Linked DNA regions of Ovis aries. The protein of the gene in region 2 purifies or fractionates together with the protein of the main gene of each other region. This does not show direct contact. Links are inferred from orthologs where the notes say so. Each region holds a gene or a part of one and is shown on either strand. Other genes may lie near its edges. The genes, in order: HTRA2, BIRC2, MAP3K14, BCL10, TNFAIP3, IKBKG and TANK.

Region 1 (4,340 bases), on a different chromosome or scaffold from region 2:
TCACCTACCTGAAGCGCAGGAGCCCCTCCCGGCCATTGGTGGCCTCTTCCTCGGGAAATAGTAGCAGAGGGGTAGGGGGAAGCCTTGTTGAAGCACAGAATCTCTTGAGTGACTCCACCAACTCGCCTTGACCATCCATCTCCATAAAGCCCCGAGACCAGCACACAAAGCTTGGGGGACTATTGAGTAGAGGCTGGGCACCGGAAGGAGAGAAAGCAAGAAGAAAAGAATGCTGTGAAGTGAGAAAAATTGACATATGGGTAGAAAAGCAAGGTCGGGGTAAGGGTCAGTATCTTGTGGTCCCCATGGGAAACCCGAACACGGAGAGGGGTGCCTTGAGCTGGGCCCCAGGGAGCCACTCCGTGGCACTCTCGGCTTCCTCCCTAACTCACGGTGCTACAGCTGGTGAGCAGGTTGACTATGTTGTGGTCGAAAGGTGTCACGTGGTTGGAAATGAGGACCCTGACACGGTGATCCCGCAGTCCAGAGTCCTCCTGCCGGGCCACGAGCCCCAGCACTGCACACATGGTCCGTACCACGAACCTGCGAACGCAGGCAGTGGTGACTACCTGGCCTTGGGCCAGGCCCAGCCCCAGCCCTCCCCGAGCGCCCGGGTCGGAACCTGCGAAAGACACTGTCTGGTAGCGCGCAGCTGACCAGGAAGACGTGGATCCCAAGAAACAGGCGCAGGACGAGGAGGCAGAACCCGACTGGAGCGTAGAGTAGTAGCGCGAGGAGCAGGAAGCCGTCACCCGGGAGCCTGGGGGCGAGAGGCGGGGTGATTGGGCGCCGAAGGCCAAGTGGACGCGGAAGTCGGTCTCTTCCCGCCGGGGTTCTTACCGGTGCGAATCAAAGAGCCGCTCCGGCCCCGGCGACGACGGAGGCTCCATTGCCGCTGCTTTAGGATTGTCTGGCCGCTGCCGCCATCTTTGCGCCCCGCCGCAGGGGCTCTTGGGAAGGCGGAGTCTTCGGGCATCCGCCCAGGGTGCCGGGACCTGAAATTCTGAGGCGCCCCGGAAGGGCTAGCGGTCCCATCATGCCTCGCGGACCCGTGGGCCACCTCATAACTCGCGTCCCGCGGGGACCACAATTCCCGGCATTCGCGGGGCGGGGGCGGAGTTGGCCTCCCGGAATCCTGGGTCCCAGCGTGCACTTCTGGAGACTTCAGGTACCGGCGTCCTCAGCGTCCAGCTGCCCTCCTGGTCGCGTCTAGGGCGCCGCCTCTGCGCTGGGCGGGCGAGGAAGCCGCCGAGGCGGAGCTGATGGCTGCACTGAGGGCGGGGCGGGGTGCTGGCTGGAGCCTCCCGGGATGGCGGGCTTTGGGTGGGGGTCTCTGGGGAAAGGGACCCCTGTTGACCCCTGACCTCCGGGCCCTGCTGACGTCAGGAACTCCTGACCCTCGGACCCGAGTGACTTATGGGACCCCCAGTTTCAGGGCCCGGTTGTCTGTGGGGGTCCCTGAACCACGGACATGCCTGAGGTCCTGGACTTCGGATCTCCGAGCACGGCTGATCGCTGGGACCCCAGATCCCCGGACTCCGGAAGGCTCCGGAACTCCCGGAACCCGTCCGCGCGTGTGGCTAGCGGTGGCGCTGGGCGCTGGAGGGGCGGTGCTGTTGTTGTTTTGGGGCGGAGGGCGGGGTCCCCCGGCTGTGTTCGCCTCGGTCCTTGGCTCGCCGCCCACCTCTCCCCGGAGCCAGTACAACTTCATCGCGGACGTGGTGGAGAAGACGGCCCCTGCCGTGGTTTATATCGAGATCTTGGGCCGGTAATGGTGGGGGTAAACACTAAGGCACCGAAGCCGCGGGCTAGAGGGCGGGCGAGAAGGATGGGTCTGAGCCTCCTCACATCTGTACTGTCCCCCCGCCCCCCTTTTTCCAGGCACCCTTTTTCGGGCCGCGAAGTCCCTATCTCGAATGGCTCAGGATTCGTGGTGGCTGCCGATGGACTCATCGTTACCAATGCCCATGTGGTGGCTGATCGGCGCCGAGTCCGTGTAAGGCTGCCTAGCGGCGACACGTATGAGGCCGTGGTCACAGCTGTGGATCCCGTGGCAGACATCGCCACGCTGAGGATTCAGACCAAGGTGGGGGTCGGGGCAGGCCATGTCTGCTTGGGACTGTGAATTTGTTCACATCTCCAGATGCCAGGTCTCTTGTACCCATTCTCCCTTAGGAGCCTCTCCCTACGCTGCGCCTGGGACGCTCAGCTGATGTCCGGCAAGGGGAGTTTGTTGTTGCTATGGGAAGCCCGTTTGCACTGCAGAACACAATCACCTCCGGCATTGTCAGCTCTGTTCAGCGTCCAGCCAAAGATCTGGGCCTTCCCCAAACCAATGTGGAGTATATCCAGACTGATGCAGCTATTGATGTGCGTCCTGATATAAGAAAAATGAGACTAGGTTGGGAGAGAGGGGAGGGGTGTGTGGTACAGGCACCAGTTGTGATAGATGGTGGATGAGCCTATATACTGGGATTGGGTTGCAAAAAATGTGGCCACTCCTTCACGGGCTGGGAAAGGAGAGGATTTGGAGAAAGTGTCTACATCCTGATTGTGCCCCGAGGCATAGAGTCCCTGGATCTCTGCCATATTTTCTCCTTGTCCTGCAGTTTGGAAACTCTGGAGGTCCCCTGGTTAACCTGGTGAGTGTGACATCCTTTCCAAGAATCCCTATCTCAGGTCAGTATGGGAAGAGGTGGGTTTCCCCTAATTCACTGGTGTTTGGTCAAGTTTCTGAGCAGTTTCTTGTTGGCTGTCTCCCAGAATCCAACTAGATCTCCCCCAAAACTCCCTCCCACTCTTGCTCAGGTACCCCCATCTCCTATTATTTGTCTGGGCTAGAGAATAGTGGGCTGTGTCCCAACAGGATGGGGAGGTGATTGGGGTGAATACCATGAAGGTCACATCTGGAATCTCCTTTGCCATCCCTTCTGATCGCCTTCGAGAGTTTCTGCATCGTGGAGAAAAGAAGAGTAAGCCTGGCTTTTGGGGAAACGGGTTTCTTTAGTGGCAGGGGTGGGGAGGGTTTGCTGGAAGAGGGGTCAATTGGGAGGAGGAGGGGAAGTAAGGATATACCTGGGTGGGGCTCATTTGTCCTTCTAACACAGATTCCTGGTTTGGAGTCAGTGGGTCCCAGCGCCGCTACATTGGGGTGATGATGCTGACCTTGACTCCCAGGTATGAGCTTTAGGGGTAGTGACACGTAGGGCCATCAGTGTAACCAGTGGTGGGTACCTGGCAGTTCTGTTGAGCTTCGTTCTTAGTTCTGTTTTTATCTAAGATGAGTTGCCTCATTCCTCTCTCATTATCTTGATTTTTCTCACCTCACTCTATTTTGCATACCTTCCATCCTGTTATTGCTTAGATTTACAATAAATACCCAACCTTCCAGATGTGGCTTCCCTATGAGTATTTTCTGTTCCAGCCAACTTGATTTCCTAATCCCGTGTTTTTATGTTGTTCTTGTTTTATATAGTTTAATATCAGATTGATTCTTCTAGGTTAAGCTAAAGTTATAGCACTTCCTAAGTTATAGCTGCTTTTAGGATTCTAGAATGACATTAGTGCTATTGATTTAACCCTGTGTGTCATTTGGAATGTTACCTTTTATATACACATTCTGCTTCCTAACTGCTAGAAGGCAAAAAGTGAATTGTTTTTGTATCAAGAGGATCTAGTGCACGTCCTGTTCACACGCTTGTCGGTGTGCTGATGAAAGATGTGAGGCAAACCCCGAATGGGGAGAGTGCCCTGTGACCAACAGAGTGATCTGTGTCCTTTCAGCATCCTTGCTGAACTACAGCTTCGAGAACCAAGCTTCCCTGATGTTCAGCATGGTGTGCTCATCCATAAGGTCATCCTGGACTCCCCTGCTCACCGGTGAGGGAGAGGCTGCGTTAGGAGGTGGAGATGGGTGGGGTGTATGCGCCCTTGAAGTGGGCCATCTAGTTCTTCCTTTATCTCTCTATCCTTTGCCATAGGGCTGGTCTACGACCTGGTGATGTGATCTTGGCCATTGGGGAGCAGCTGGTACAAAATGCTGAAGATATTTATGAAGCTGTTCGAACCCAATCCCAACTGGCAGTGCGGATCCGGCGAGGACAGGAAACACTGACCTTATATGTGACCCCTGAAGTCACAGAATGAATGGATCAGCAAGAGTAGGAGGCTCCTGCTCGGATTTCAACCGTGGTTTCGTGGCTTGGGCTCTGAGGGCGCCTGGACAGAGGATTAACTGAACCAGTTGGGGGCAGGTCCCTCCGACTACCACCACCACTTCCTGGGCTCTGAAGAATCACAAAAACACTTTTTATATAAAATAAAATTATACCTAACAACAT
Region 2 (3,888 bases):
AGCCCATATGCTATAGCTACTGAGCCCGTGCGAAACCTGCACATTGCAACTAGAGAAAGCCTGTGCAGCAAACAGACCCAGTGCAACCAAAAACAAATAAATGAATAAATAAATAATCAAACATAAAGTACTCATTAAAAAAAAATCCAAGACCCACTCCCTTTCTTACCTGAAGTGCTGCTTGACTTGCTGGTAATGATTGATGTTCATGCATGCAGGCAGGCATGTAGTCCAGGCAAGGTTAGAAGTCGGTTAGAGGTATGCTCCCCTACTTCTGAAGCCTGAACAAGACTACCTTCATTTTTAATTTTCCAGTGTTCTTGGTTGGCATTTGTTTTTCTTTTAGCACTTGGATATATTAAGTCTTTCTCTCCTAGCCTGGAAGGTTTCTGCAGAGAAATGTGCTGATAGCCTTAGGGGGTTCCCTTGTATGTAATAATTCATTTTTTCCTTGCTGCTTTCAAAATGCTTTGTCTTTTTATTTTTAATATTTTGACTATAATGTGTCTTGGAATAATCTCTGGCCTGATCTTGCTTGGGGTTCTCTGTACTTGCTATTTCTGGATATCCGTATCTCTCCCAAGATTTGGGAACTGAAGTTTTAAGCTGTTATTTCTTGAAGTAAACTTTCTACCCCTTTTTTCTGTCTTCTGGGATTCCTGTGATGTTCATCTGCTTGGTGGTGCCCTGTAATTCATGTGGTCTTCCGTCACTCTTTTTTATTCTCTTTTTGTTCCTATAACTGGCTAATTTCAAATGATCTCCGTTTGGGTTCTCATTCTTTTTTTCTGCATGATCAAGTCTGTTGAATTTCTCTATTGATTTTTAGTTCTGTGCTTTTATTCTTCAGCTCCAGGTTTTCTGTTTGATTCTTTTTTCTTTCTTTTGATTAAACTTCTGATTTTGGTTTCTATTTCTTGTTTAAACTTCAGATTTTGTTCATGCATTGTTATTTTCATTTCATTTAGTTGTTTACCGTTCTCTTGAATTTTATTGAGTTTCTTTAAGGTGACTGTTGAGTTCATTGTGAGACATCATAAATCTTCATTTCTTTGAGGTCAGTCTGGATGTTTATTAGTTTCTTTTGATGGTGTTGTATGTGCCTGATTTATATATTTATATGCTATATGTAGCCTGGCCATAGTATCTGTACATTTGAGGGAGCAAACACCATTTCCAGTTTTTACTGATTGGTCTTGCCAGGTGAGGCCCTTCTTCTGTCAATTTTGATGGATACAGAGCTGTTTTGGGGTCTGTTGCTGGGACCATAGTCAGGAATTCAAGCACCTGGGTACAAGCCAGTCTTCTCAAAATCGCTCTCCTTGGTTTTGGAATACACAAGGCTTTCAGAATCTTATATCTCAATCACAGAGCCTCTCACAAAGGCACTTTGGTCCTTGGATGGATTCCAAATTGTTGTTGAGTAGGGATCCAGATGGGAGACATCTTAATTAGCAATCTTGCTATCATTACTCTCTTGTATCCTTCTTAAGGTATCGTCCTCACTTGGCTTCCTGGACACCACATTGTTGATTTTCCCATTACCCTGGTTGATCATGAACAATTTCCTTTGGTGGGTACTCCTTTTTCAAACCTCTTAAGTGATGGAGTGCCCCTCAACATTCAGCCCAAAGGTAGTTCTCCATTTCCTGAGCTACAGACTAGCATGTTCAACCACCTGTTTAAATCTCTGCTTGTTTATAATGGATTTCTCAAGAGTTATAGGACCAGAGCAAACATTTTCTCCCTGCCCTTCGTACCTCAGATGTGCTTCTTCTCTGGTCTTCCCTGCTCAGTTAATGGTCTCCACTTGCTGAGGTTGACTTAAGTTAGACATCATCCCTGATTCCTCCTTTTACTTTGTATATTTAAGCTATTAAAAGTCCTTTCATCTCTATCTTTATAATATGTCCCAAATCTTACCACTTCTCTTCATCGTCACCACTGTTAACCTGATTCAAGCTTCTATCACCTTTTGTCATAAAATCCTAACAGGTCTCCCTGATTCCATTTTACCTCACTAAAGTTTATCACAGAGCTGCCAGAATCATTTTTTGGAAAAAACAAATCAGGTTTTATCAGTCCTAGAATATTCTAGCAGACTTAAAATATAAACTCCTCACAAGGCTTTACATGATCTAGGCCTCACCCTACTCTCTGACCTGCTCTCTGACTCTGCACTGCCTTACTATTTCTTGAATAATATCAAGCTTTCCTCTTGACTTGAGGCTTTTATACTCGCTGTTCTCTTTGCCTGAAAGACTTCAGATATTCTCACACTCATTCCTTATCATAGAGTTGTTTGCTCTGCTGTTACCCATTCAGACAGGGTTCCACATACATTTGAGCAAGGGAGCACACACACAGTGTATATTTACGTTTATTATACAACAGTTTTCCAGCAGATGGCAGTAAAGTATCTTGAAGAATGATGTCTTTTTGTAATTTTCACAAAAGTGCCACATTGGCTGGCATAGACCCTGTTATCAGAAAATGCCTCTCTGATCACCCTGAATGTCCTCCTGCTGCTTCCTAGTTTGTCTTAACACCTTATTCTGCTTTATTTTCTTCAGAATATGTGTTGCTATCTGAAGTCATTATTTTAATTCTTTAATCACATTTTTTAAAATCACGTTTTTAGATGTATTCTGTATGAATTAGTCTTCCACTTTACTGTTCTTCCCACTTGACTGTTCTTCCCATCTTTGTTTTTTCTGCTTCATATATCCACCTCTTCAGGTCCTGTCTATCCTTCAGGTTCAGACTCTTGTGTGATCTTTTTCATTAAGTCTTTGTTTATTTCTCCCACTTTCCTAGCTGAATTGAGATTATTCTCACTTCTAAATTTGTGTAGCATCTCAGTTTCCAAAAATAAACTCTGTACAACGGAGTCATTTGAGGAATTTTTAGGATATTCTTATGTTCCATCCCTAAAGACTCTTAACTAAGTAGGTCTAAGGTGTGGGAATTGGTATTTTTTTAGAGTACAGCCTGTTACTGGGCTTCCTTGGTGGCTCAGTGGTAAAGAACCTGCCTGCCAATGCAGGAGTCATGGGTTCGATCCCTGGGTTGGGAATATCCCCTGGAGAAGGAAATGGCAGCCCTCTCCAGTATTTTTGCCTGGGAATTCCTATGGGCAGAGGAGCTTGGTGGGCTATCGTCCATGGGGTCACAGAAGAGTCAGACACAACTTAGCAACTGAACAACAATAAGAGCAGCCTGTAACTGCACTCTCATTTGATCCTTATCAGGTTCAGACTTTGGTTGGAGTTATAGGTAACGTGCATACAGCTCATCTCCATTACCAGGATATAATCACCCCTAAAGTAAAGATTATATCAGAGTCATTATTGTTCCCTATATTTTTATATTTATGGAATTTACCCAAATATATATCTTTTAAAATAGTTGTTCAGTTTGGACCTGGAGAAAGTTCTTCAGACGATGCAGTCATGATGAATACACCTGTGGTTAAAGCTGCCTTGGAAATGGGCTTTAGTAGAAGCCTGGTAAAACGGACAGTTCAGAGTAAAATCCTAACAACTGGAGAGAATTACAAAACAGTTAATGATATTGTGTCAGCACTTCTCAATGCTGAAGATGAGAAAAGAGAAGAAGAGGAGGAGGAAGAGAAGGAAAGACAAACTGAAGAAACAGCATCAGGTATTTGGGAATGTTAGTCCCCTGGATTATTTCCACTGAGGTCTCATAGGATTGTCTCACGTGTTGCAGCACAGTGAGTATCCCTGTCTCTCCACTAACTGGTGGCAGCCAGCAGTCATTTCCAAACCTCACATCCCCTTCACTGTGAGCAATGTATTACCTTAGTTGAGAATCACTGACTACAGTTTTTTTTGTTTTTGAACATTTTTTTTCCTCCCCAAGAAG
Region 3 (4,485 bases), on a different chromosome or scaffold from region 2:
AATGTCTCAGTAGCCAGGCAGATGACATAGGTTAAGTGGTTGAGAGCAAGACTGGGGGAGGGAGGTGGGGGTGTGCTGTGAGGAACTCCAGGCTCTGCTCTAAGGCATGCAAATTCAATTTTAAGAAAACATTGCACCAGCCAAACAAAACTAATCTATGGCCTGAGTGAGTGGATGAGGCCCTGAGGTTAAGTTTTCTGCCTGAATGAATGGTCTTTCCTATTCCCCTCAACCAAGATGTCTGCTAGAGGCAGATCTCCAGAAACATACATCAAGCTATGAACGACTGTCCAAAAAGTGGTCCTGCGACTTCTCTGACACCCCCATGCTTAAGACTCCGCATTTCCAATGCAGGGGGCATGGGTTTGACCCCTGGTCAAGTAACTAAGAGACCCCATGCTGCGTGGTACAGACTAAAAAACAAAACCTGAGCAGGTCTTTGCTCCAAGGCTTCCAGAGATGGGGTAATCCTTATTTCTCCAGACGGCCTTGAATGGGGCCTGCTTACCTCTACCACTAGAGCCGCTTACCTCACTTGCCTGCCCTAGACCACTGATGGGGGTGGAGTGCCCAGGTACCGGCGTATCTTTTATTTTGCAAACTACTTTTTAAGTGTGGAATTTTTTTCTTTATTATAAATAAAAAACAAGCTCACTGTGGAAACACTAGAAAATTTGGAAAAGCAAAAGTTAGAAAAGAAAAAATAGTCACACCTCCCTAAACCAACTCCCCAACCCCTTCGCTGCCCCATCCCCATTCAGAGAAGCACTGGTGACACCTTGGTGCATATTCGTACTCCAAGTCCTTTTTATACATAGGTAAAGCTCTAGTCTTCTTTCTGGCTCCATAAACCCAGCGAGGAGATGCTTCACGCAGCGCTCACACCAGGTTACTTCTCTGACTGTGGGACGGGATTGCACCACGCCAGCCGCACGCTCTCACCAGACAAGGGTTTCAACACACAGGTGTAACCTGTATAAGCCTTTAACTCCGCAAGCTTCTCGAAGGCAGGCACTATTTAAGCCTCAGAGACGCTACAGCGCCAGGTTCACAGTAAGTGCTTAATAAAATGTTTCTAAATACACAGCCCCGCCCCGCCCTGCCCCTCTCCCCCCAACTGCCAACACACCTGCCTCAGCCGCCAAGGCTTGGAGCAAAGAAGAAACACAACCAAAACCTGGGGAGACGGCGCTTCGCGGTCTCCTAGGTAACCAGGTCTTAGGCTGGGGAGTGCCCATGCATGCGCACACTGGCCCTTCCTTCCCGTAACCTCCAGAGGAACGCAACCAGTAAGACTGCCAGAAGCCGAGCGCGCATGTGTGGTTCCACCAACACCCCGACCGCCTCCGCCTTCTGTCAATCCGTCGGCCCAGCCATCTCTTTGCTATAAACACTGTCCGGAAATAGTGCCCATTTCTGGAAACAGGGCCTCGTTAACCAATCGTTGCTTGGGGCGGTAGGAAGGAACTGGCTGAGACGCGCCGTCTCATTGGAAGATTGGGGAGTGGGCGGGGCCAGAAGCTAGGCGCTGCCAAAGCAAGGAGGCGCGAAGCGAGGCAAATTTGCTGCCGCGGGTGGAGGCGTGGCCCCGGGGGCGGCCGGGAAGGCGGTGAAGGGGCGGGGTCCGGGGTGGGGCGGGGCGACCGTGGGCCCAGAGAGCAGCGGTCCGCGACAGGCGGCGGGAGATCGAGGGCGAGGCGAGCGCGACACTCGCTGGTGGGGGAGATCGGCGCTCGGCCGGTAGGTGACTAGAGCGAGTCCCGGGGCGAGGGGCAGAGAGGACGGGTCACTCCTCAACCCGGGGCCGGGCTGCGGCCTGGCCCGCCGCATCGGAATGGTGGGGTCGGCGGCGCGGCCCGGGGACCCACTCGCGCCGGTCCTCGGCTGTGGCAGCTGGCCGCCGGTGCGCCCTCCCTCACGCCGCCAGGGCCACGGTCGCACGCCGGCCTCACCCTGCACACCCGCAGGCCACACGCTCCCCCGAAGCGCGCGCAAGGGCCCCTTCCTTCCCTTTCCCGGACACCCCCGTTTCCCCGCGCCAGGCTGCTCCACCGCCCAGGCCTGCCCGTCCTGCTCGGTTCCCTGGATGTTCTCCAGAAGGAGGGCTTACCTCGGCACTGGGCTTAAGGTGCCGAACGCCCCAGCGCGCCGGGTCCCTGCGTCCTCCCACCTGTCCAGGCAGTGAAACCCTCAGGTCTTTCCTGGGAAGTTCTCGGGGTCACACCCCGAGCCTGGGAGAAGAGATGGAGCCTCCGATTAGCACCCAGCGGGGCAGTGCTGGCTGGTCGCAGCATCCTTTCTCTCCCTGACTCCTCGATAATTCTTTCCACTCCACTCAGGACTTCCTCTGTCGGCTCAGATAAAATATCCCATCTTGGAAGTCCATCATGGTCCTGGCAGCCTGCAGCCAGAGGCACCAGGCAGAAGGAGGCCCCGTGTAAAGAGCCCCATTTGCCCAGGAACCTCCTCTGTGCCGGGTAACTTCAGGAAAAGCAGTTTGTTTCCTAACTGAAGTTAGGATGTGGCTCTCAGTCCTAAAGGGTGGACTAGGGAATGAGTAGAGAAAAGAGACAGAAATCTGTGATATAAATTGTTTTAACTGGAGGACAATGAACCCTGTCCCTTGATGATGAACTCAAAAAGCAAGTGAAGTTATATGGTGAGAGGTGGGATCTGATACAAAATAGCCTTCTGAAGTTTATTCCAGGAATAAATGTTGAAAACCCCTTGACTAGAAACATAGTCTTTCTGAAAGATTAGAAAGAGATAGTATCTTAACATTAGTGATGTTTTTTTTTTTTACTTAGTGTCTTCATACCTGTAACCCTTTTCCTTCAGATTTGTGTGTGATAAGATAAATAATATTGTCCTGTTTTAGAGGTGAGGCACCTGAAGCAGGTGTGTGTTTGGCAGGGACTGGAGGCGGGTAAATGGCTCTTGCCCAATGCCTCACAGCTGAGACTCAGGGTGACGACTTTAATCTGGGCCACTGGAATCTTTCCCCAGCTCCTTTCCCTAAAGCAGAACCACGTTATGGAACTTGGATGCAGGACATGGGGAGAAATATTTGGTGTGGTATTTATGCTCTTAACATGAGAGAACAGGTGCTTGTCTCACTTACAAAGTGTTTGGATTTACTCTTGGTGTTTTTTAAGTGATGTCAAAGTCCGTTCCTTTGGTGCAGTGATGCCAGACCTCTGAGATTTTCAGATGCCTGGAGGACATCCTCTTTTATTTTGAAGGGTGTGGCAGTGAACTTCTCAGAAGGCCTCAAAATAAAAGTACTCATCTCTGACTTTAATTTTAGAAATCTATACCCAGGTATGTGTTCCAGCTCTTTTGTGAGACCAGACAGCAGTAAGCCACCAAGCTTCAGTCCCCTTCTGACTGTTTTCAGGTTATAAGGAGTAGTTCTGAAAGGGGGTTTTTCGCCCCTGGTGCTGTCTGTTAGAGTTTGTGGGAGCAAGCGGTACCACAGACAGAGACCCTGCCAAATGAACCCTCATCTATTAAACAAAAATGTCTGGTTGGCCATTTCGCCTCCACAGACGGAGGTTTGGTTCCTCATTTTGTTTCTCCTATTGAACACTGACTCCATTGTGATCTGCTTGGAGTGTTTGTGTATCACTGAATGTTGAGAAGCGGGCTTGCCCTGATTGGTTGTCCAACTCCAGGCAACTGTTGTGGTTTTTGTTTGGTGCGTGGTAACGGTTCTTCCTGGCCAGGGTCTGGTGTGAGATCTGCAGAGATGGGAGATGGGTAAAGACTGACCCAGGGCTGTTCTCCTCGTTGTTGGCACCCTCTTAAGGGTGTCCGATCACTTTGGCCTGCGACGTCACTTTAGCTTCCTATTTTTTTTCCTGTCTCAAGGGACAGCACATGAGCTTTCCTAACCGGCCTGCCTCCCTTGATGAAGAGCTGAGAGATTCATGTTGGTTGACCTAACAGATGGTCTTTCTGGGAGGGTAGTTAAGAAATCTTAAACCAAGTTCGGCCCTGAATTAAAAGTGTAAGTTAGCTTGATACACACATAGAGAGCCTCTTTCTATCAATGGCTTCCATCATCTGAGAACTGTTTTTTTTTTTTTTTTTCCTGGCAAAAGGTTAAAATGCAACTAAAATTCTGCTTTCATGATTAATAAGTCACTACCGCAGTTGTATCTGATGCTTCCTGTTTGCCCCATTTTAGTATTTCAGTTAAACTGGAAACATCTGAGCCTTATGGGCACTTTGGAAGACACCAGTGTGAAAGTGGTGGTGGAGGGGGGAACAGTTCCCTGTCAGTGGATTTGGGAAGCTTTAAGGATAAGCCTGCTCCCCCTAGCCTCCACACACTGAGATCCCTGGGCAGGGCAAGTAGTAGGAGTTGAGCACCTTCAAGGGGTAGGTGAGCTTTTAAATTGATGCACGTGTGAACGCTCTGCATTTGCTGGGTGGTGCTGACTGAAATGTTGAAAGCAGTCGATTAGAAATGGAAGGCCAAAC
Region 4 (4,614 bases), on a different chromosome or scaffold from region 2:
TTTTGTATGTCAGGTAACATTATTTACTATAAGAGAAGCCGATTAACTAATAGTACGGTTATTGATTATCTTAGGGAGGTGAATAAAACCTAGTATTTTCAGAAAAAAAAATAAAATAAAATAAAATAAAATTTTACTGCTCCAGACACCCTCATCCTATTGCCCTGTCTTACAATTTCTCTTAGTATTCATTATCTTCTAACATAATAAATAACTTACACAGTGTTTTTTGAACGTCTGTTTGCCTTGCCCCAAACACACATACGCTAGAATTTAAACTCCAGGAGGAAAGGAATTGTTATCTATTTCGTTCACAGCTGTTTCCCCAGCACCTAGAGCAGTCAGTCTTTGGCACATAAGCTGATATTCAGTAAATGTTTGAGAAATGAAAGAACAAATGGTTTAGTAAATTGGATTATATCAAGCAGATGGAAGATTAAGCAATCAGAAAAAATACTATGTATCAATATGGAAAAAGACATGTGATATAATGTTAATGTTAAAAATAGAACCTGTGTTGTGATCAAATATAGCTTGGTGTGGCTTTGGCAACGTTGTTCTTTTCTGATTCCTTTCCTTCCTCTTCCCTTAATTGTTGGGGTTCAAAATTTGGTTTTGGTCCTCTTATCATTTTTACCTACCCTCTAGCTTCAAGTACCATCTACTTTATTTCCAGTTTACCTAGCATGTTGTCCAAACAACCCTCTTGTGCGCAGGACTCTGTTGTGAGCTTTTCATCCACCCAGATTTTTACTGGGTACATACACCTCTGTCACTAGCTGGAATACCATTCTGAGAATAGTGATTTGTTCATCAGGCTCCCCAGTACAACGGTAGAATGGTTACAAAATAAGATACCTAGAACATATTAGTAAGGACTCAATACATGTTTTCGTAGTGTAAGATAATGATAAATTGGCTGCGCACTGTGTGCCCATTACCTGTAAGAACCTAACAGATACCACATCATTTAATTTTCACAGAGGCCCTGTGAGAGCTATGAAGCAGAAAAACCTTCATTATACGGATGAATAAATGAGGAAACATGTTGATAATAAAGTGACCAAAAAGAATGCAGACGTTAAATTAAGTGTTAAAGTGTTGGGACTGTAGGCGATTGTTCTCTTTCATAAATGTAATACTGTTGATAGGCTGTGTACATGCGTCTCGGGTATGTTATGTGTACGCACGCAAGTCAGTGTCTGACCAAATTGTTTTAAAACGAGGGAGCAAGCAGCAACAGAAGTCGTTGGATAGGGTCTGGGAAAAAGGGAGGAACCATAAAGTACGGATAAGCAGAGACCCGACTCCACCTGTGAACTGCCTGCGCAGGCGGCGACCGCAGGCAGGCAGAGCAGCTACGTACCCCACCCACGGAAACGATTCCTTTCGGGGAGGCCACCCCGCGGCCACTCGCTGACGCTCAGGAGGCTGTGGGTGGAGCCACTCCTGAAAGGCTCCGGCAGGGGGCGGGGACAAGGGTGTCCCGCAGGCTGGCTCTGATTGGCTGCTGTAGAGACTGGGCGGGCTCTCCCGGTGGCCCCCCGAGGGGCGGTGCCTGCTCCTGGGCCTCCGGGAGAGAGAAGGATCCGGGGCTCCGAACTCCGCTTGTGGACAAGTAAGTCTGATTCGCCCTCGGCTCTGCCGGAAGCGGCACAGGTTGACTTACTAGTCCTTCGGCCCTCGACGGGGCAGCCCTCTCCCTCCCGACCCTCTCCGCCTCCCTTCTGCCCCTTCATTCGAAGGCCGAAGCCCGCAGCCTGGGCGGGGCGGCGCAGCCGGAGCTCCTGGACCCGGAAGAAGCGCCATCTCCCGCCTCCGCCATGGAGCCCACCGCGCCGTCCCTCACCGAGGAGGACCTGACTGAAGTGAAGAAGGACGTGAGTAGCACAACCTTGCCCAGGTGCCGTCGCGGGCTAGGGGCGGGCGGGGGCGGGCTGCAGTTCTGCGGGCGAGGAAAGCGGAAACCCAGTGTCCTAGTCCGAGTCGGAACTGGAGGAGGAGCCCGGGGTCGGAGAAGCGGAACGTCCGAGAACCGCAGGACCGCGACGAGCCCTGCATGCGAGGAACCTTGGTGGAAGTGACCTGCCCCCAGCTGACCTGTTAATCCACGTTTTAAATCAATAAAAGCAGGGCTTGAGTTTTTGAAACCTTGTTCAGTGGAGCGTTTCTTCACAGTCAGCTTCTTGCCCACTCTTCACTCATCCCCTGGTGATTTCACCCCAGATGCGCTTTGGAGCAGCGTTGCTAGGGATCGAAGACTGAAGTTCACCCTTGAGTCAGACTACCTTGGCTGCTGCTCGACCTGGAGCAAAAGCTGGACCAGATAAAGCATCCCAAGCAGTGGAGCAAATACGAGAAACTTTTGCAGAAGGGGTTGGGGGAAGCTCGACAGCTGAAAGCACTACCTGGAATTCCCCTACTAAGGAAACACCCACGTATTTAAATTGAAGGGGTGGGGTGGGGGTGGGGGGAGAATAAAAGAAGTCGAGAATTAATGTACAGGTAAACGTTGGAGATACTCAGTAGCTAAATTATGGTCTTATGCTTGGATGGTGAAGTGCACAGATCTTAGTATTTATTCGTAGAGAATGAGTTTATTGAGGTCTGACCTGTTTCTCTTTTCCTTTGCTTTTTGTAACTTGTTTTGCCACATGAAACTTCTCTGACAACCATCAAAATGCTTTATATTCAAATTAAAAACAACATGAACATTAACTGTGTTCTGGCTTACCGCTGCAATACTTACACAAAATCATCTTTGTGAACTAGACAGAACAACAGCGTTTTAAATGTTTGTTTGCTTTTCCCTCACCTGTAAGGTTTATTATGCTGTACTCATAATTACAGTGAGTAATTACAGAATTACTGTGAGCAATTCTGATAATGAATTAGCAGAAGGAAACTGGTTATGACTGGGACGTGTGCCTTAGTTTCCTCCTTCAACAGATAGTTGTGGAGCACTTATTTTATGGAAAGTACTGTTCTTAGGCCTGGGAAGATACCAAAAAAAAAAAAAGTCACCCCTGCTTTATATTCTAGTTAAGACTGGGATATTGATAACTACTAAAGAACAAAAGAGTGTTGTGTTATTCAAGATTTGTGCCAGTAAAAACATGAACTTCAAGAGCTAGGCCTGCTGTGTCTCACAGTTGACAATATCCCCAACAACCTCTAAGGCAGATAATTGTCTTTCCCATTTTATAGTTGATAAGACAGGTAGTGAGAGGTTCAAGTGAAAAGATATAAAACGTACATAAAAAACCTATACATATAAAACCTGTACAGATGTGAAGGGAGGCTTCCAGGCCTTAATTTTTTCCCATCTGTTCATTGATACTTTCCATCTCCATGACTTCAATTTACAGCTGTATCAGAAAGTTATAAGCTTGGGGAATCATGAACAGGTTTCAGGACATGTATGAAAAACAGTATGTGCACACTTTTTTCTTAGAAATTGTGTTCATGATATTTTCAAAATGGTTTGTGACCTTAGAAGTTTTCACATATTTGGGCTTCCTTCCTTCTCATCTCTAAGTGCTTATTTCCAAATATCTACTGGAAATCCACATTTATATCCTTCAGACTCCTCACTTTGTCTAAAATTGAATTTTTTATAATCCCTCCCCCAAAGCCACTTGCTGTTTCTACTATAGTCTCTGTCTTGGTGACTAGTGTACAGTTCTCCTTCTGTATCCATGGGGGATTGACTGCTGATACCAAATTCATGGATACTCAAATCCCTTTTATAAAATGGTGTAATATTTGCATGTCACGTACATACATCTGCCCATATACTCTGAATCATCTCTAGATTACTTATAATACCTAGTATAATGTAAATGCTATGTAAACAGTTGACCCACATAGCAAATTCAAGTTTTGCTTTTTGAAACTTCTGGAAATTTTTTTTTTTCCCCAAATATTTTTGATCCATTCTTGGTTGAATCTAAGGGTGCAGAATCTGCAGATATAGAGGACTTATCCACATGGGAACTCCCATTTCTTTCTTTTTTTTTTTTTCCCAGGCTACCACTTCTTTACTATATCGCTTCTCCCTGTGTACCTCATCTAGTTATTTCTCTCATCTTTGAATTTAGTTGTTTCATAAATATGGACTACACACTACTGTGAGGCTCATCCTGCCATTGATTCTAACAGTTTAAAAATTAAAAACGAAGACAAAATTCTAGTTTGAGAACAGCTCAACTTCTTGGGGCAGGAGGAGACATGTAAAATGATGATTGCAAATCACAAAATAACGATGAATTTTTACATTCATCTGAAATATTATCTACTTGGCACTCTGCTAAGTGTAGGATATACAGAGTTGAACAAAATGTGCCTGGTTCTTGCGTGCTTTTAACATGTGAGTTCTTAGGGTTGAAAACAAATGTATAATTTCAAATTATGGTAAGTACTGTGAAGGAGATGAACAGGTGCTGAGACAATAACAGGATAAGAGGAGAAATTACTTGAGATAGGATGTTCAGGGAAAGTTATATTTAAACTGATTCCTGAAGGATATGACCGAACTAGGGAAGAACATTCTAGACAGAATAGAATTTGCAGAGGATCTAATGCAGGCAAGCTGTTGAGTGTCTTGAGGTGAAG
Region 5 (3,888 bases), on a different chromosome or scaffold from region 2:
TGCATAGAATTATTCTATGCTTTTACTATCTGCCCTTGGAAGTATAGGATTTATTATTCTAGTATTGTTATTATTCTAATTCTTCTTCTGATGTTGTAAAGTTCAGTGAAGAGGTTCTGAGAGACTGCTAACTGTTTGCTCTTAAAATTGGAAAGCATCCTTGCTGGGAGTAGACTTTTTTGTTGGTTATAAAACATTCAGTTTAACTCTCTATGTAAATATGTAAATAGCATTTTATAAGTAAATGCTTTATAAATGTTCCTTTTGGGGACTATAGAGAAAACTCCAATCGACAGCCTACATAGCAGCATAAAATTGCAGGATTTCTCACAAAATATTTGTTGTCTTTCCAGTATAGGGAGGGAGTGCTTGAAAGAGGTAAATCAAGACATGGACTAAAAAGAAGGGTTGCTTGGTGGTGCTCTTAGAAGAGGAGCTGGCTTGTCAGGGCTACATTGTGCCTATAACCAGCATTCAGGGCACCTCAAATCCAGTGTTTGCCCCCAGAACAGCATCAGGATGAGACAGGAGTTTCAGTCGGTTAGAAGGCACCATACCTGTTGCTGACAGACAAGCTTGGCTCCCTGACAAACGTTACTGAAAACACGGGTTATTCCCCTCCTCCTCATTGCCCACTCCTTCTCTTGTTTAGACTAATCTTTAAAAATGATGTAACTTAAAACTGTCCAGTGTGAGTTCATCTTTGGGGCCAGCTAGTATCCTGGGAGTAGAGGTGACTAAGATCTTTTGCCTGCTGCTCAGGGTAATGACAAGATCAGACAGTGGGGTTTCCTGCAGGCAGGTATATAGGAGTCATATCAAAGTCAGACTAACAGCGTGGGGTTTTCTTTCCCTCCTCTTCAGGTATTGGAGAGCACCATGGCTGAGCAACTCCTTCCTCTGGCCTTGTATTTGAGCAATATGCGGAAAGCTGTGAAGATACGAGAGAGAACACCAGCAGATATTTTTAAACCTACCAATGGAATCATTCACCATTTTAAATCCATGCACCGATACACTCTGGAAATGTTCAGAACTTGCCAGTTTTGTCCACAGTTTCGGGAGATCATCCACAATGCTCTCATTGACAGAAACATCCAGGCTTCCCTGGAAAGCCAGAAGAAGCTCAACTGGTGTCGAGAAGTCAGGAGGCTTGTGGCCCTGAAAACAAATGGTAAGATGTGCTTTTGTCTAGGCGTTGAGGTGGCTCCTACCATGCTGCGTCCCTATTTATTAAAAGGCACCGGGCCCAAATCAAATCTCTTAAGGCTATAGGTACCGAAGTATAGAGACACTCTGAGGGGCATGTGACGAAAGCAAGCTTGCTTTGTGAGTATTTGAATTAAGGGTGATTTCTAGTGCATGTTAGAGAGCAGAGCACACTGAACCTTGGAGAATGCATTTCTGGACACTGTGTTAGGTGTATGTGTAGGGTATGTAGGTATGACTTCTGTATCTAATTCTTGTGACTATTTAATCATCTGTGAAATACCCTTCCCTCACGAGTAATGGAAATATCAAAAGGCTTTAAAAAGTTCAGAAGAAAAAGCATGGTGTGAAAATCAATAGTGTTTTCCACTGTCATTAGAAAATGCTCGTGATGATGGCCTTACACTTCTTGAATCAATGGCATTTTATGGGTTAACCACTGGCTGTTGTCAGCTCCTCCCTTACCTAGGTTCTGTTGCCTGCAGTCCCAAGATACTAACTAGACAGATAAACCTGAGTTCTTAGTGCAGGTTTTAGTCCTTTATTTCATTCTTTTTAGGGATTCCTAGTACTGTACCGCATTTCTTGCTATCTGTGACTGTCTGCCCAATGGCTGTTTACAACTCATTGCTGTTTCCTGTTCTAAACTTCACTGTTGTTTTTTTTTTTAATTATTTCCTTTGAGCAAGAGTATGCACATCACAGAAACATTCAAGCCTAGTGTTAAATGTAGAAACAAAATTCTACTTTATAAATGTAGTTAATTATTGCAAGGAGCAGTAGACTGCTTATTGTCTAGGTAAAAGCAGGAAACTCCTGTCCTTAGATCAGTGACAATCCTAAACCATCCCAATTATTTTGATTGATATACATCTAAGGGCAAAATAATACATCTTCATTGACAGTGAGACCAGATGATAAGTATGTTAAATGAACTGGTACATTCACTTTGGCTGTTTTTGACTTGGGTAACTTGGCACGATTGAGGGACATGACTTTTTCTTGGGTTTTGGGGGTTAAGTGCATCACCTAAACATCGTGCTTTTATTTTTGAAGCATAGATTCTTAGAAACATAGAAAGAAAACGGAGGCTTCCTAGTGTTTACACTGGTTTTGGCATTAAATCAAGAGATGCTTAGAAGTAGGTAATTATGTTAAGTCATCATCAAGGGGTTTATATTCCTGACAGTTTGTGGTTTTAACTCTCCCATTTTGTTACAAAAAGAGGTGGAGTCAACTTGGGAGAGTTGAAAAGAAGAGATTCTGCCAAATTAGAAATGTGGTAATAAGAAAAAAACCATTTTATATGAACTGAACTGGGATTTTAGGTTCAACTTGCTCTAGTTCCTTAAGGAAAAAAATAGAATATAAAAAGTAAATACTTGTCTTGCAAAGATATGCATTTAAGTCAAGGATTCACGCTACAAATAAAACTACAAAGCAAGTGCATTTTGATATCATTTTCTGAGAGATGGGAGTTTTTAGGCTCAGAGTCCTTTTATTTCACCACTTACAAGAAAATTCCTTAAAAATCTGGAAAAGAAAGAGAAGATATTTAGGGGAAGAGGAAAACAAACGGCTTTTCCTTTCTGATTTTTATTAGCACCATTTTTTTTTTTAAGTCTTCCCCCTATAGGAAGGCTCTTCAAAGTCAATGGTCTATTTGGGGAGGGGGTGATTCACAAGTTTGCATTTGAGGATATGAGACTGTGGTGAATGAGGAAGGGAGTAGGTGGCATAAAATTGAAACTTCATTTGAAAAATTCCAGCGTCTATTGGCTGCAGCGATTTCACTTGTATAATGAGTAGCCCTATTCCAGCTCACCCTGACCACACCCACTTGGAAAGTCCAGGGTGCACTTCGCATTTTAAATGTCTGCACACCAGAACAAAAAGTACAATAGCTGTTGCTCAATTGCTAGTCAAATAATTTAGCACTGGGGAATTCCAGATGTTACTTAGGGAATTTTATGCTGGTGCATCTCAATAAAGAACTGAAAGTAAGCACAAGAAGAAGAAAAAAAGCCTTATCTTTGCTCTAGATTTTGCAAAGGGGAAATTTCAACAGCTTGCAATTGTTGCCACACTTCTGCCAAGACACAAGGCTTGAGCGATCTTTTTGGTTCATTTGTTTGAATGTTTATTTAGCTAGTTTTTCTGACTATGTAAACTGAAAGAATATTGGCTATGGATATGTTTGAGGGTGTTGTTGTTGTTTACAGTTGACTATAATTAGGACATGATAAAATTTCAAATAGCTTCATTGCCCCATATAGCAATGTAAGGAAATAATTGAACGTTTCTTTATAAAAACAATTATGCACTTCCCAGAAGAGCCTAAGGAGTTAACTTTTTAAATATTAAACATTTCTCCGAAACATTTATTCTTTGGAGGCCAAAAAAAAATGCCATTTCATGAGTTGTGGATTTTTAACCTATAAAAGTAACAAAGTGACAGATTAAAATTAGACCTATCTTTTTCTCAAAAGGCTCAGAGTTCTTAAAGTGCCAGCCGTAAACACTGAATCAATTTTCAAATGTAGACATCTAGACACTCTTTAACTCTGAAAAGGGACTCTAATTGCTAACAGGCGGGTTCACACAAGGCATTTATGGGAGGTAGGGGTGAGCAGGCTAGTAGGTAATTCCGTCTCAATCCCATTTTATAAATCAGGAGAG
Region 6 (4,559 bases), on a different chromosome or scaffold from region 2:
GTTAAAAAGGTCAATCAAAAAGAAAAAAAAACCACTCTACAACAAAACAAGAAAAGAATTCAAGATTGGTAAAGGCTTGACCACATACTTCACAACAAGAAAAATCAATGGTTACTTAACACACAGGAAAGTGGTCAAGATGACCAGTTGTCACAAAAATACAAATTAGACCACAATGAGATCCAGCTTGACCTTCACCAGTAGGTTGTAATCTGAAAAAACTAACCCCATCTGGTGTTGGAGGTGGTGTGGAGGAAACACTTGCACCAGGGTTCACAGCAGCCATAATTCCCAACAGCCCTGAGCTGGGACACAGTGAAAGGCCATCAACAGGGGATGGACAAGCTGGATATCTACACAGTGGGACACCTACTCAGCAACACCAAGGGATGAGCCAGGGGGATTCCCTGGTGGTCCAGTAGTTAGGACTCCACCACAGGGGTTTGCGGGTTTGATCCCTGGTAGGGGAACTAAGATCCTGCAAGCCACGCAGGGGGCAAGAACAAAGATTACAAACCAAGAAAAAAGGGATGAGCCAGTGGCCTACTCAACACAAGCAATTCTCAGAACCAGAATGCTGGACACACAAGGCTCAACACCCTGAGTTCATTTAAGGGAAGCTTTAGAAAAGGCAAAGCAGCCACAGTGACAGAAGTGAGAGTCCACAGCAGGAGGTGGACTGGCTGGGGAGTTGGAAACGTTGCCTCTGGTTATAAAGGTCAGAACCGATTGGACAGAGAAGATGTCTTTCGATGTGTACGAATGTTGCCTACAAATAAAAAGACTGAAAAGAACAACTGAGCAGACGGCGGGCGGTGCTTGCTGTTGACCATGTGAAACTTTCCAAGATAATGGCAAGTGTGTGAAGACAGCAACTGTGAGCAACAACATTGTCATCCCACGAAGTCACCCAGTCCCTTCTCTCCAGGCCGGTTTAGCTGCCATAGCCACGGCTACCTGCTTGCTTTTGGTGACCTGACAAAGGAATTCTCCACTCTGGGTGGAAGAGGTGGTGAGCCTGGGCATGGCCTGGGTGAAGAGCAGGTGCCCTTTTATGCCCCCTGCCCTGTCATCAGTGAGGGCTGCTGGGCAGAGCTGCTAGACTCGCCCCGGGCAGGAAAATCACCTCCAGGGGTGAGGACCTGAGTCTTCAGGGCAAAATGACCCTTTAAGAGTCATGTCAGCACTGGACGCAGTCACATCTGTGGACTGTTGCAGAGAGGAGCCGCAGGACCAGAACCGATTGCAATCTGCACCCCTAGACGGGCCATGAGGACGGTAGTTGGGGAGCTACCAGGTGGGTGAGTCCTCCCCTGGCTGGGGGCGATGGGGGCCACTTTTGAGGCTAGCATGCTCAATCCCCATTTGTGGCTTCACCCTCTGTCTCCTGGGCTGAGCCAACATCTGCACGTGGACAAGTCTGCTCCGGCCCAGGTCTTGGCTAGTGCCCAGCCCACACGGGCCAGTGTCTCTCCGCCACCTCCGGGCTCTAGCGGAACCTGGAGTGCTCCAGTGGGTGGTTCCCAAACCAGGGTGCCCTGTGTTGCAGCCCCCGCCCCCTGTCTGCCAGCCACTTAGAACTGATTGCTGAAGGCTCTGGAGCAGGGCCCCCTCCTGCCGGCCACCTTCCCTGGGAAGCCTGGAGATAACAGCGCCTCAAGGTCAGTCACTGATCCCTGGCTGGGGTCTCCCTGGAGCCCAGCTGCAACCCCTGTGGCCCCTCTCCTCCCAGTGCCCAGCAGTGCCCGCTTTCCGCTGACCCCTCCTGTTGCGGGGCTCCAGCAGGAGAAGCCATCAGTCCCCTGTCGGCGGGCACCTCCTGGCCCAGAGGAATGTTTGCTTCCGGTCAAATTCCAGTGGGTTAGTGTCCTGTCTGCTGAGTCACGGTGCCCTACACCCGACTGCCCTCACCGGTCCATTTGGGATTAGCAAGGGGTGGAACCTGCTCGCCTTGTTCAGCTCAGCCCTGCCACCAGCGGCCTGAGTCACTCACCCAAGGGAGGAGTGAGGTAGGACCCAGACGGGGGTGGGGGCACAGAGGCCTAGGAGGCCCCCCTACCCAGCAGCCTGGGCCTGGTTGCACTGCTGGAGGTAACATGGGCTGAGAGCACAGTGCTCGTGGGGTCTGGAGGAGTCTGGGGCCACGTGGTGACTTAGCAGCAGGAGCAGGGCCTGCTGCAGATTTCCAGCCACCTGCATCTGGCCTGCCAGCACCCTGATCTTATCTCAAGTCTCCAGTTTGATGAGCCCTTGGTCTCGAAGGGTGTTAGGGTGGAGCACGTGACAGTAGAAGTTGGGAGGCCGGGCAGGGGTGGGCTCTATCCCCCTCGAGGCAAGATCTGCCTGGCCTCCCTCCTGGGCCGCGGGGCTCATGACTCATCAGCCCTTTGGGGGAGCGCCAGAGTCACCGTGACACAGCAGGAATCTTATCGCCCCAGGAGGTGAGGCGGCCCAGAAGCACCCCCTGAGGAGAGAGGGCCCGGGTCCTCCAGCTCAGCCCTGGCAGGACCCCGTCTCTGGGCTGGGCCCTGGAGCACTCATCGAGCCCATGGCCCAGATGGGGAAACTGAGGCCCAAAGGCAAAGACCGCCCTGCAGAACCTGCACTGAGCCACTTCTGCCCGAGGGGGCTCCTCGGCCTGATCTTTCTCTCATCTCAATCGCTCTGTTTCCATTGGGGGTTAGAGTGGCTCCAGCCTGGCAGGCCCAGGGTTCCTCTCTCAACACTGGTCTGGAAGGAGAAACGGGGTTCCTGGGTTCCAGAGGCCTCCAGACCAGGTCCTGTAAGTACGTCCACTGCCCTCCTACTGAGGGTGGGAGTCTGGAGGAGGGAGTAGGGAGCGGCTGCAGCTACAAGGCCATCAGGTAACTCCTCAGGCTGGCCTTCGGACGGGGCGGAACCTGGGCGCGTGGGTGCGGGGTTGGGCAAAGCCGGCAGGGAGGAGAGGGGCGGAAGACAGCTCATCCTTTTTGGAGTCGCAGGCTCCGCTCCGAGGCCCTGGCTCTGCGGACCTTGGCGCCTCCCAAGGCCTGGGGTGTGAAGGCCTGGCAGTGTTTGCTGTCACATGCACTCACCTTCAGGCCCAGCCCCCAGGCACGGCTCCCACAGTGGGGGGGTGGGGGGGCCTCAGGGCAGGTGCCTGCTGTGCTGTGAACTCCTTGGTCTCCCAGAGTAACAGGTTTGTGCCGCCTGCCTGCCTCCCACATATCCCAGCAGGAAGGGGAGAAACAAAACAACAGAAAAAACAGGCTCTACTTCAGAGGCCCTGGTACTCCCCCACCCCCCGCCCTGCTGGCTGCAGCTGGCACTTCCTCTTTCTGCCCTAGAAGCCTCTGCTGATTGCTCTTGGAACAGAGAAGAGCAAAGGGGAACTACTCGGGTTGCAAAGAAACAATGTTGCCCAATGCCAAGGCCACCACACGTGAAGGCAGGGAGGAGTCACCAAATCAGCTCAGCAGAACCCTGGGGCCCCTTGGTGCTCCAAAGACTTCCATTGCCAAGTGGAGACTGTGGGGTTGAGAGAGGAGGAGACACTTGGCCCAGGCCACAGAACACACTTGGATGCTCTCACTGAGGTGGTTTAATCGGAGTTGAGGATCTAGGGTCATAGGCAATTTACTAAGGCTGGGGACCCTCTGCTGGAATGTCTTGGGACAGGCTGGGATGGGGATGGGGGAAGGAGGAAAAATAATCCTGAGTAACTTTCTCTGTCAACCTATTTCTTGGACCAACTCCGAGGTGTTAAGCTTTCTGGTGCCTCGAGGGATGAGGCTGGGGCCAGGGTGGGGGCTAAGCTGCCCCCTGTGTGCCCCTCCTGGGCATCCTACAGTCTTGGGGTGATAAGACGGTCAGGGGAGAGTTTCGGGCAGCCTTCCCTTCCTTCCCAGCAGCACAGCCCTCCTCGCGCGCAAAGCCCCCTGCCCTGCATTCTGGCTCTTTTTCCAAGTTTTGACCAGAATCACACAACTGGCAAGAAACACGTTCTGCAAAGGGCGGTAGCTTGTTATGATACATGAATGAAGAGCTGAATTCCTCTAGAGCTGAGGGGAGAGGGGTGTGGAAGGGACAGAGAGACCATGCCTGCCCTGTCAAGAGCTCACTCGCTTGGCAGAACTCTCGCTTCAGGTTTATACAGTAAGTCACCACCAGAGATGCTCGTAATCCTGGGGAGCGGATTCTTGGTCCCGTCCAGGATGAAGAGTTTCCCTTTGAGATGAAACGTAGACAGCGTTCCAGCCGTTTCTCATGTCTTGCCACTGGGTTGATCTTATTTCCACGTGGCACATGGAGAAAGTGCTTTTAGTTGGGGGGGCCGGTCATGGCTCTCCAAGGACCCACCCACCCTCTCGTGTTCCACCCCCTCCCAACATGTATGGTCAGCACGCTCTGTTTCTGCCTTTGCTTCTAGTCTCTGGCCTTTCTCATCACAGCAAAGTGGCAGTTCCACTGGCTGGACAATGGGGCTGGTCTCAGCTCCTCGGGAGGCCTTGGAAGTCGGGGCAAAGAGATGGGGTTTCAAGAAGGGTCAAGTGTGTGTCTTTGGGGACCGTGAGGGTAGA
Region 7 (4,330 bases), on a different chromosome or scaffold from region 2:
ATTAAATAAATAGTAGGTCATCACCATGGAAGCTTTTGGAAGTGTTAACATGCATTCAGCCAAATACAGTTATACTTCAGTCAATGTGGAGAGTCCCAACCTTCAGTGTTCTCAGGGAGAGTCCATATATGTATATGCTGTGGATTTGACTGCTCTTCTCCTAAAAGGAATAGGAATGTGCTTGATGGTGGGAAGGAGCCAGGATGACATGACTGACTCCAGACAGCCCCTCTCATTTGCAGAGCATTTTGAATTTTACCATATTTGGTTTTTGTTTTTTTTTTTTGGCTTACATTATCAGTTGATCCTGCAAGCATCCATCCAGTGAAGTAGGTTATCATTGTCCTTTGCTGTCAGATTTTAGAAAATCAAGATTCATTAGATTAAGCAACTTGCCTGAGATAGTAGATATCCGAGCTAAAACTTTTCTTGAGGTATCTGTCTAAACTTTTCATCTTGGAAAATATTCAAGCATGGGTAGGAAATGGAATAATGGAGAATCCTAAGTTAGGGGAAATTTTTTTAATAGAGATCTACTTCCATGTAGCAATCACTCAACTTTAGCAAGTACTTTTAATGATAGGTGTTGCTAGTTGGGGAAAACCCAAATGGGTGTGTGTTGTGTGTATATTTGTGTGTGTGTGTGTGTGGGGGGGGTTCTTCTCAGCATGTGGAGCTTAATAACCCTAATCACATTCACATGAACATCTGCTGAAAATGAGGACTCTTGGAATTCACCCCAGTTGCTCTTAACTCTTGGAGAAGGGCATGGCAACCCACCCCAGTATTCTTGCCTGGAGAATCCCATGGACTGAGAAGCTTGATGGGCTACCATCCACTAAGTCTCAAAGAGTTGGACAAGACTGAAGAGACTTAGCTGAGCTCTTAACTCTGGGAATCTCTAAGGGTGAATCTATATCTTTAACAAGAGACCCTCCGCTGGCCTTTAAACTTGATTTCGAGTGCCTTTCCGGGTCTGTAGTTGTCCCCCTTGAGTCCGGGCAGGGCTGCGCCGGGCGGGGCAGGGCTGGGCGGGGCTTGGGTGAGGTTAGAGGGAAGTGGCGGCAGGGGCACGGTCTGGCTTGGAGGGGTGGAGGGTGAAGGGTTAAGGGATCCACGCGCAGGCGCTGCCCTCTGAACTGGAACGGAAAACAACTTCCGGTTGGAGTCACTCGGCTGGGCGCCGGGCGACTTGAGACTGGAGAGACCGGTGCGGAAACCCTGAGCTGTGAGTAAGAAACTTCGCTAGCGAGTTGCAGTGTCCGAATGCATCGGGCACGGCGACGGAGAACTTGTGTGTGTGAGCAAGAGGGATGCGCTGGCCGTATGGGCGCCACAGGGAGAGAAGCCGAGGAGCTGCAGTGACAACCAGTTCTCATGGTGGGGAGGGACTTTGTGCGAAGGAAATCACCTGGGTCCCTGTCCCGGAGCGGACCGGGAGGGGCTTTCCGGGCCCATGGCGTCTGCGCAGCAACGACGGCCCCTGCTGCGACGGCTGCCGGGGAGGGATCCTGCCCGACTCCGCGTCGGCCGCTCTCTGTGACTTGATCTCTTGGCCTGCCAACCGGGGAGGCAGGCCTGTGATGTCAGAGTGAGCAGTAGACCCCACCTGGAGGTCCCAACCCCTCTTGAGGACCGGAGGCTGCCTTCCAGAAGTTAATACTATCTTTGTTACTCTTTCAAAAACTTCCTAGGTTCTTTCTGTTGTTTTTCCCCCAAGGTTATTGCACAGTTTCTCTCTCAGCTTTCCTGCGGGGTGTCATCATAGCCTTGTCACTGAGAAGTTGGGTAACCTCCCCGAGGGTCAAGGAGAAACTGGATGGCTGAGGCAGAAAGAGCAGAAGCAAACCCTGCCCCCAGTGGGAACCGGGCGTTAGGCGGAATCCCTAGCGTGGTGTAAACTGGCTGGTGACGAGTTACACGTGTAACAAGCTGTGCTCGTCACGAAGTGAAGCAAGGAGGGGAAAGATACTCAAACCAAAGAGTCTCTGTGTCTCTTACTATGCCGTAGCAGGGAGAAGTAGAGCAGCCTTTGCTATATAAAGTGTCATGAAGTGACCCGAAAGTAGAGGAAAATAGCGTGATCTGTTTCCCTACCACGACGGGAATACACACTTCAGAGAGGGGGAGTAGAGAAGCGAGCTCTGTAGTCTGCTGAAAAAATGTTTTGTCCCTCTCATTGGGGAGGGGAAGAGAACCGAGAACCCTAAAGTGCTAACAGTCATGTTTTAAGCAGAAAATGAAACTCCTTCACGGCCCTCTCCCCAGCCACAGGTACTCCAGCGCCTTGCACATCTCTCTTATGTGTACATAAACGTGTTATTTCGCTTTCTTATGAAAATAAGATTGTATGTGCATACAGTCCTATAATTTGGTTTTTCAGATAGAATATATATAGTGGAAATCTTACCATATATAGCTCTGCTTTACCTTAATGTCAGCATGGGATTTCTTTGCCTGGGTGTTCCAAATGTAGTTAAACATCTCTTAATATGGCCTATCTATGTATTTTGCCCTTGTTCTTCACAATTATTTAATCTGTATTTCATTAGGATACAGATATATTAACCCTTTGTGATTTATATGGCGAATATTTTCAAGACCTATCAGTCTTTGGGTTAAAATGCCCAGGTTTTCACTTAAGAAGATGGTCCTCACCAAAAAATTATTAAAATATTTTCCTATATTGTTCATTAAATATTCTTACAGTTATGCTTTACTCATTTAAATGTATGAAAATTATTTTTGAATATTGTATAAGATAGGGATTTAGCCATTTTTGCTGAAATCATTTGCTGAAATCAATTCATTCCCAACTGGCTAGAAAAACTACCTTAATAGAGTAAATTTCCAGGCCTACATGAGTCTTTTTTGGATTCTTGTGTTCCTTTGTTCTATTTGCTTCTTCCTATACAATTACCAATCTCTCTTTGATTAGGCATTTTGTAGTCATTCATAAAGCAAGTCCCTCTTCAAATATCCTTGGTGATTGTGTTCTCTCTCAGGTAAAATTTAAAGTAAACTATGTATATTTCATTAAAACAGGTTTCTTTGGGGAGTTTTGTTGTTGTTGCTGTATAGTTGCTCAGTCATGTCCAACTATTTGTGACCTCATGGACTGTAACCCACCAGGCTCCTCTGTCCATGGGATTTCCCAGGCAAGAAAGCTGAAATGGGTTGCCATTTCCTTATCTTGGAAAGAGATCTTTCTAACCCAGGGAATGAACCTGATTCTCCTGCTTTGAAGGCAGATTCTTTACCACTGAGTCACCAGAGAAGCCCTTGAGGGGTTTAACTACCCACTAATATTTTGTGACTGACATGTAGATGATTTATATATCTGGCCAACTTTCTAAAATTACTGGTTTTAATAAATTGTCTCTTGAATTTTCTAGGAAAATAGTCATCTGAATATAATCTTAACTCCTTCTTTATATTTAAATCTTTCTTTTGTTTATAAATTTATAGTTTCTCCAAAACAGTGATATATAATAACAGTGATTCTGGCCATCCTTATCATATTTATTCATTTGCAGTTATTTTTATTGTGTCATCATTGAATATGAATTTTATAATAAATTTCAAATAATTTTATTTATCAAAGAAGTGTCTAATATTTCTAGCTACTGGGATTTTTGCAGGGAATAGATTTTGGATTGTGTCTGAAGTTGGGGTTTTTTTGTTTTTTCTTTCGCATTGGCTAGCACTTTGAGAGCAGTTTTGAACAGTAGATGTTGAGTTTTCATTTGGTGTATATATTTCTTGTTGATGTATTTTCATTGCTACTTTAGTACTAAACATTTTTATCAGGAGTGGAAGTTGAGTTTTGTCATATATGGCATTTTGGCATCTAATGTGATCAATCTTGTGGTTTTCTTCCTTGACCTTTTAGAATAGCAAATTGTTTTAGTAGATTTCTACCTTTGTTGTTGTTGTTGTTTTTAATTTTTATTGGAGTATAGTTGATTTATAATGTGTTAATTTCAGATGTACAGCAAAGTATATGTACATATATCCACTTTGTTTGTTTGTTTGTTTTCCCATATAGGCCATTAGTTCAGTTGCTCAGTTGTGTCTGACTCTTTGTGACCCCATGGACTGCAGCATGCCAGGCCTCCCTGTCCATCACCAACTCCGAGGGCTTGCTCAAATTCATGTCCAGTGAGTCGGTAATATCATCCAACCCTCTGTCATCCCCTTCTCCTCCCGCCTTCAGTCTTTCCCAGCATCAGGGTCTTTCCCAGTGAGTCAGTTCTTTGCATCAGGTAGCCAAAGTATTGGCTTTTCAGCTTCAGCATCAGACCTTCCAATGAACACCCAGGGCTGATTT

What was found.
Region 1: the proteins of BIRC2 (region 2) and HTRA2 purify together in Homo sapiens (affinity purification with mass spectrometry; 4 studies listed by BioGRID and IntAct, counting the BioPlex papers as one, with this or other methods). This does not show direct contact. The link is inferred for Ovis aries from reciprocal best matches to the Homo sapiens genes BIRC2 and HTRA2.
Region 3: the proteins of BIRC2 (region 2) and MAP3K14 purify together in Homo sapiens (affinity purification with western blotting; 3 studies listed by BioGRID and IntAct, with this or other methods). This does not show direct contact. The link is inferred for Ovis aries from reciprocal best matches to the Homo sapiens genes BIRC2 and MAP3K14.
Region 4: the proteins of BIRC2 (region 2) and BCL10 purify together in Homo sapiens (affinity purification with western blotting; 3 studies listed by BioGRID and IntAct, with this or other methods). This does not show direct contact. The link is inferred for Ovis aries from reciprocal best matches to the Homo sapiens genes BIRC2 and BCL10.
Region 5: the proteins of BIRC2 (region 2) and TNFAIP3 purify together in Homo sapiens (affinity purification with mass spectrometry; 5 studies listed by BioGRID and IntAct, with this or other methods). This does not show direct contact. The link is inferred for Ovis aries from reciprocal best matches to the Homo sapiens genes BIRC2 and TNFAIP3.
Region 6: the proteins of BIRC2 (region 2) and IKBKG purify together in Homo sapiens (affinity purification with western blotting; 6 studies listed by BioGRID and IntAct, with this or other methods). This does not show direct contact. The link is inferred for Ovis aries from reciprocal best matches to the Homo sapiens genes BIRC2 and IKBKG.
Region 7: the proteins of BIRC2 (region 2) and TANK purify together in Homo sapiens (affinity purification with mass spectrometry; 4 studies listed by BioGRID and IntAct, with this or other methods). This does not show direct contact. The link is inferred for Ovis aries from reciprocal best matches to the Homo sapiens genes BIRC2 and TANK.

Annotation. Positions count from the first base shown.
Region 1 is NC_056056.1:96,382,800-96,387,139, forward strand, and holds HTRA2 (serine protease HTRA2, mitochondrial), read left to right. Parts: upstream 1-1,166; 5' UTR 1,167-1,262; coding exon 1,263-1,768; intron 1,769-1,881; coding exon 1,882-2,086; intron 2,087-2,175; coding exon 2,176-2,370; intron 2,371-2,609; coding exon 2,610-2,642; intron 2,643-2,866; coding exon 2,867-2,972; intron 2,973-3,107; coding exon 3,108-3,177; intron 3,178-3,783; coding exon 3,784-3,879; intron 3,880-3,980; coding exon 3,981-4,146; 3' UTR 4,147-4,339; downstream 4,340-4,340. Other genes in the region: lipid droplet-regulating VLDL assembly factor AUP1, read right to left, coding at 9-193, 393-543, 623-760, 841-890.
Region 2 is NC_056068.1:6,029,509-6,033,396, reverse strand, and holds part of BIRC2 (baculoviral IAP repeat-containing protein 2), read left to right. Parts: intron 1-3,408; coding exon 3,409-3,663; intron 3,664-3,888. UniProt on the Homo sapiens protein: Multi-functional protein which regulates not only caspases and apoptosis, but also modulates inflammatory signaling and immunity, mitogenic kinase signaling, and cell proliferation, as well as cell invasion and metastasis.
Region 3 is NC_056064.1:44,688,626-44,693,110, reverse strand, and holds the start of MAP3K14 (mitogen-activated protein kinase kinase kinase 14), read left to right. Parts: upstream 1-1,653; 5' UTR 1,654-1,740; intron 1,741-4,485.
Region 4 is NC_056054.1:62,309,655-62,314,268, reverse strand, and holds the start of BCL10 (B-cell lymphoma/leukemia 10), read left to right. Parts: upstream 1-1,556; 5' UTR 1,557-1,823; coding exon 1,824-1,880; intron 1,881-4,614. UniProt on the Homo sapiens protein: Plays a key role in both adaptive and innate immune signaling by bridging CARD domain-containing proteins to immune activation.
Region 5 is NC_056061.1:63,028,257-63,032,144, forward strand, and holds part of TNFAIP3 (tumor necrosis factor alpha-induced protein 3), read left to right. Parts: intron 1-864; 5' UTR 865-879; coding exon 880-1,174; intron 1,175-3,888. UniProt on the Homo sapiens protein: Ubiquitin-editing enzyme that contains both ubiquitin ligase and deubiquitinase activities.
Region 6 is NC_056080.1:79,920,164-79,924,722, reverse strand, and holds the start of IKBKG (NF-kappa-B essential modulator), read left to right. Parts: upstream 1-1,568; 5' UTR 1,569-1,661; intron 1,662-1,977; exon of another isoform or gene 1,978-2,782; intron 2,783-4,559. UniProt on the Homo sapiens protein: Regulatory subunit of the IKK core complex which phosphorylates inhibitors of NF-kappa-B thus leading to the dissociation of the inhibitor/NF-kappa-B complex and ultimately the degradation of the inhibitor.
Region 7 is NC_056055.1:148,618,188-148,622,517, reverse strand, and holds the start of TANK (TRAF family member-associated NF-kappa-B activator), read left to right. Parts: upstream 1-1,170; 5' UTR 1,171-2,239; coding exon 2,240-2,274; intron 2,275-4,330.